Linked DNA regions of Drosophila melanogaster. The protein of the gene in region 1 interacts with the protein of each later gene in a pairwise test. Each region holds a gene or a part of one and is shown in the gene's direction. Other genes may lie near its edges.

Region 1 (2,595 bases):
CGTCATGGTCGCCGGGGCCCCAAATGGCCGATCCAATACGGCACATAAAATCCAATTTAATTAAGTTGGACTCTCGGATTGAGACGCAGTCGGAGGATCGAGACTCAGATGGAGGCCCACAAAATCACAAAGTAGCAGCTGCCGTGGCAGACAACCTTGCCAACATTCTTAACGTGTTCAAGATTTTTACCAACGCACTGCATTTAGGTTTGTTGTTGTCGCGTTCACTTTTCAAATGCTTACGAAATGTCAATATTCGGCACAAAGTTATTTGTTATTTGATCGGATCGATTGAGCAATTGTTGATATACAATTTTTCTGTGTTTGTTCTTTTTGTCTAACGGTTTCTCATTGATTTGTTAGCTAATTGTATACGAAAAATGTAATTAAAATTAAAACGAGTAACTGGAAACCACAACGCTCGCATGTTAGCTTGACAAACGAAAAATAGGTAAATAAAAAATGTTAACACCTAGATCGCACAGCTGGCGACAACGGTGCGAATGAGTCATATTGCACCAGAGTAGAGTTTCAATTAGTTGCAAATTACGTGCCTAAAGCTAAGAACCAAACCTAAAAAATGTTATGCCGAGTAATTATAAAATATTTGGTATTAAAAGCATACTTGAACACATATGAGTGATACACCCAAAAATGGTTCACACACTTGTGTTTACTTTCTAAATTTCAGAAATCGCAAAATGATTTTACGTAATTTACGTAATTCAATGTTGCCACCATGACATTTCATTTTTACCATTTTTTCATTATTATTGCCCACCTATCAAACCTCAATTGGGTTTGCAATTTTTTAAACAATCGTAAGCCTAATTTGCTTTCATTGTTATGGATAATAAACGGACCCTGAGCTATATATGGCAAGGTTAACCATTATTTTGGGTCTCCATCACTTGAGCCTATATTTTCAAAACTATTTTCGCAAATGCCTTACTTCCTGGCAACCGCGATCATCGCGGGTGTTTCTTTTTTGGCTTACCAATTGGCCGGCTTAATCAAGCCTTCTATATGCCAATTAAATCCATGGCTGCTAGTAATGTTAGTTAGACCATAATTTTATGAAAAAGAGCCTTCTATGTCTTGCTAGTCATGTTTTATGCATAAATTGATTTAAGAGTTGAAAATGCGTCTGCGCATGTAGTATATATCTCTGGTTTTTTCTATGAAATTTTGTGTTCAGCTACATATAACAACGCTTGCTAAGGTATGTGCTTCTAACTTGAATTCATATTTACTCATTCATATTTTTTATATGAATAATAGCAGGTGGTTGTTGAACTCTTTCATTCTGATTTATCATCTGCTAAACACTGAAATTACAAAACTGGATCATTGGAGTATATTACAGATAAAATCTGACCTCAGTTTCTCCATTACAACATTATCAAAATTGTCATATAATTTAATTTTTAACATAATATGTACCTTTAACTGCATTCATGTTTTTTTTAAGTACTCAGGTATCTGCTATAAAAGGAGTAATTCCTTTTAAGCCAAGTATCAGTTGCTTCCTACTCTACATTCAAGCACACAATTAAAAGACCTATTTCAAAATGGCACTCTATTATATTTTGGTGATCAGTGTCCTGCTTGTCCTCGCCCAAGGATCGTATTTGTCGTCGGTGAATCAGGAATCCGGGGTGGGAGTGCATCAGTCTGGAGCTATTTCATCTAGAGCTCCAGCTGCCGGAATAACCCGTGGCTACTCCGCTGCCCCTCAGACCCAACGACCCATCTCTGGATATGGATCCCTCTCTGGTCCTGTTGGAGGATCCCGTCGAGTGCCCGTAGTTGGAGTGACCGGATCTCGTCCTCGTGGTGGAGCTCCGCGTAGTCCGTCTGCTGGAGCTCATGGACGTCCAAATGTAGGTGGATCTGCCCATGGAAATTCCTACCAGAATCGCCAACGCAGCCAAAAGCCTTATTAAGAAACAGAACTTATCATCAGCAAATGACCAAACCTAGATCTACATCCTTATTGTCACATTCTTATTCTACTCTCAAACCTTTTTCTATCGCAAATAATAACAAATGTTACATAAAAACGAAACTTGATTAAGATTATTTTACAATGGCAGGGATAAGATTGAGCATTGGGGAATATTCATTTCATAGGCATTACCTAGTACTTAATCCTTAGCAACAATGTCACCTTTAATGAACTGGTTAATACGCCAATTTCAGCTTTAGCGACAAGTTACGCACTCAATTGGCTGCACTTCATGATTTAAACATTTCTTGAATAGTTGCCCAAAGCGAGTAGCCATTTAAGCTGGGAATATGAATTCGATTTTCAAACCATTTAAAGTTACCAATTTGTTGATATTCGGCTATGTTAAGACGCTGATTCTTGAATCATTAAAATAAGCCAGAGTGCTAAAATAAACAATAAACTAAAGCGCATAAGCACATAAAGCACATATATATACATATGTAGGTTTTAGTACATCTTATTTCGTGCATAACTCTTTAATCATACATGTTTTTTTTTAAATAAATTTTTTATTTTATACATCCTACGATTCTAACTGCTTTACATTTTTTTTTTTTGTAATAAATCTGTATGTTTTTACTGAC
Region 2 (3,942 bases), 5.1 Mb from region 1:
GTTAAACTGCTTAGTTAAGTGCTTGTGAGCCAAATTTCGATGTGCTCTGCCATTCTGCCATCTCCTATCTGAAAGTCATCTGAAGACACCGCATTCAGTTCACAGACGCGACCGAGAGACATAAACAATTAAACTCATTTGACGATTAATTACGCGCCGCTTCCAAATCGCGTGTGCTGCCACCACAGCCTGCAGTAAAATGGAAAAAAATAGATGGCCCGCGGCAAAATTGTTCTATCAAAACACTGGAGGCTACAGCAAAAACTGCGACAAGAACAACACCCACAGCCAAGTACAAATTCATTTGCTGCTAAAGACACAAGAGGAACTTGCATGTCGTGTCATAATCTTGATGAATGCATAATTGCATGCCGAGCTCCCAGCTCCTCATCCTCTTCCCTTTCCCATCCACCCAACGGATCAGCCCCATACTGCCGCGATCGAAATGGGTTTAAATGTCAACCAGCATAAGAAGTCGGAACGGACCCGAAACATAGGCCCATTTCCAAATATTTTCATGGTTTTCAATAGCGAAAAGAACGTGCATCAAAAGTTCTTCTCCAACACTGGAAAAGAAAACTGATGATAAAAATCGGAGTCCAAATTTAATTTGTAACACAAGATATACTTCTATAAATCATTAACATTAATTATTTAAATGTATGTCTGTGATTTCATTTAATAATTTTTTAATTTTTATCAAACACTACTTTTGATTAATAATCTGAATTCCCAAAAAAATTGTGTCAAATGGTAACTTTTTCTAAATTCCACTTGACAAAATATTTTTGTAATTTGAGCTTATTTCTAATACCTAAGTAATTTTTCTGAGTACATCCATGCAGCATGCAATACATGAATTATGCGGCAATTAATTAATGAGGAATATTGAAAGCTACCCACCCAACCCAAACCAACCCAATCCCCATATAACCACCAAAAGCGACCACCATCATCTTGACTCGACCCATTCCGTAGGCATTGTGCGCCTCAGGGAGAGAGCCATATATTGGTGACCCAAATTATTCAATTCATTTTTATTTATTTTTAATTTTTTGATTTGTTGCAATAATTCCCCGCCCCTTTACAGCGAGCCAGAGAGAGCAAAGGGGTCTGCTTGTTTGTGTAACTATTTATTCTAATTTGACCCGCTTATTGAGGGGCCCGCCCTTCTGCGCCCCACTCACCCCGTTGGCCATTAATTGATGCAGCCGCTTAAATGATGAATCACTTTTTCATTAAAATTTGACTTTGAGTGTGACCCCCATGTGACTGGCGTTGACTTTTATGTGGTTAATAGTTAGCTTTCCTATTGATGGATATTCCGCAATTGTCGCTTGTGGAAATCTAGCCATGTGTCTCTTTGTTTTTCTTTTCTTTGTCTACATTTGCAAGTACAATGAACCAGAATCGGTGGCTTCTTCAAACATCAAACTCGTGCTGTACAAGCTGACCCATAAAGCACAGCATAAAACCGATAAAAGAAAAAGTGCACGGTACAAGAAAAAGAATGCTGAGAATCAGAAAGCGGTTGAAGATAGCACACCTGCCACCTGAGACCGAAACGTGAACGTGGGCGGCAATGTAAAGTGTATTTAAGCTGGGGTGAAGGCCATCAAATGGCAGTTAAACTTTTAGTTCTTTTATAAGAACAAGCATTAAGTGCGGTCTGAAAATGTTTCTTCCAATTGCAACTCTTTTGTTGATCTTTACGGGGGCTGCTTTTGCAGCAGATCCCTTCAATCAAGTGGAGGAATTTGTGGACTTTGAGGATATTGACGAAGTGGCCAATACTGAATCCGAAGGAGTTACTGATGTTCCAATCATTACAGCCACGCCAATTTCAATCCCCACAAGTTCTACGAAGACTGGATTAACCCGTGAATATACCGCAGACGGATTAACAACAACGACTTCCACAACACTGGCCTCAATATCTACTCACTCTTCAACGACAGCTACAACAACAACTGATTCCAGCACATCTCATTCAAAGACTAATGATTCCACCACAGATGAATCTACCACAACCGATTTTGCGACCCTGTCTTCAACCACAGCTCAAGCTTCAACGAGAATTTTAAAAACAACTGTTTCCACTACATCTTCAACGACAACAACATCCACAACTTCTCCATCGACAAGTGACTCCACCACAAATAATTCTACAACTACTGAAACCACAACTGTTCCGACAACATCAGCTTCAACAACAGATTCCAGACTAACTTCTTTATCAACAACTGATTCTACCACAAGCGATTCTACGACTAACGAAATTACGACATCGGGTTCCACCAAAAAGGATGAAACTTCCACAACTACTTCAACCACAGCCGATTCTATCACCTCCTCACCAAACACATCTGATTTCACCACAACAGAATCTATAACCGAGTCTTCCACGACTACAAGGAGCACATCAATTGAGACCAGCACCTCGTCTTCACCAACAACAGTTTCCACAACAATTGGTTCAACAACAAATAACACAACAACTTCGGTATCAACGGAAGATTCGCCAACTACCACAACTGAATCCACTACAACCACTGAACAACCATCAGAAGAAGAAATAATTCTTGCACTCCTGGCTGAAAATGCAGGAGCCCTAGATCGGTTTAATACTCAGCTTGATGCTGTCAGCGCAATTAACTGGAAAATAGACGCTGAGCTGGACAACCAGGCAGAGTACCTTGATGCAATCGAAGTCACCGAGGAACTTCTCCGAAACCAGACACAGGAACTTCTGCTTTGGGAAGTGGAACTTCTTCGAGGCGTTGTCACCTCTTTTCAGAACTTAGACATTTTTGCCAACCGATCAATCGAAGCCGTATCAGATTTAACTAGGCTCCAAGAGCAGAATAAAGATCGTGTAAGGAACCTCGTAGATAAACTTAACGTTACCCAAGGACAAATTCTGCGCAGAACAAAAGGATTGGATGACAGACTCAACTTTGTAAATCAACTTCTCCTTGGATATATCGAGCCAAAAGTAAATAGCTTAGAGGATTCGTTTGACAATCTGAACAAATCGCAAATTAATTCTCTAATTGAACTAAAGAACGTTCCCGAGGTTAGAAATCTAACGAAAACTTCCATCAGAAAACTGTCATTCTTAGATAACCAATTGGCTTTGTTCAACCAGACCCAGGAAAATAGATATTACTCCGTAGAAGCTGTCATCAAAGCCTGGACCCCCACTAATCTCAAAGAGATCAATGATCTAACTCACGCTTTAAGCATTTCTCAAAAGCGCACCGACTTGGCAATTGCCATTAGCGGATCTGCGGAGTATAATACTGAAACCTATCCGACCCGTTTTATAAGCTATAAGGGCATAGAAGATATCAACCAAAGTAGGAAAACTAGAACCCCACAGATCTTAGGTGCTGAAGATAACGCATTGGAGTCATCGTGGAATGTTGTGGCACCAGCATAAATAAACTTGAAACGAAAACCGAATGGAACCTGAAACAATTTAAGTTTATTTTATTTTACATTATTTTATTAATAGTAATTTGAAATTCTTTAAAATTGGAGCAATGTATCAATTTCGTCTGAAATAAAAAGATTTTAAAGTGCAACGGTTGTATAAATGCATTCCCTGCTACGGTTTTTATGTTCTCGAGCTCAAATTGTTCATGGCAAATATGCGGACTATTTTGGCTGGCTATCAATTTACAGACAAGGGAACACCGTGAAGCTGCTGAGCGAAACTGATACCACGGATGCACCGAGATGTCGGGGACCCCAGAACGAATCCCAGACCAAAACTAAGCCGAGAACTACAAATGTCTTTCAGGAAGGCTGAGAGGATGGCGCGAAACAAAAGTCAAAACAAGCGCAACATGAATGAACCTTTTAACATACTTGTAGTTACTAATTCCAGGTGACAGGCGACACAATGAGTCGAAGTGGATTTTTCATTTGTGGCCATTG

What was found.
Region 2: the proteins of CG14332 (region 1) and CG4066 interact in a two-hybrid assay, tested with the Drosophila melanogaster proteins (one large-scale study listed by BioGRID).

What each region holds. Positions count from the first base shown.
Region 1 is NT_033777.3:17,421,153-17,423,747, reverse strand, and holds CG14332 (uncharacterized protein), read left to right. Parts: upstream 1-1,545; 5' UTR 1,546-1,571; coding exon 1,572-1,946; 3' UTR 1,947-2,058; downstream 2,059-2,595.
Region 2 is NT_033777.3:12,309,678-12,313,619, forward strand, and holds CG4066 (uncharacterized protein), read left to right. Parts: upstream 1-1,675; coding exon 1,676-3,442; downstream 3,443-3,942.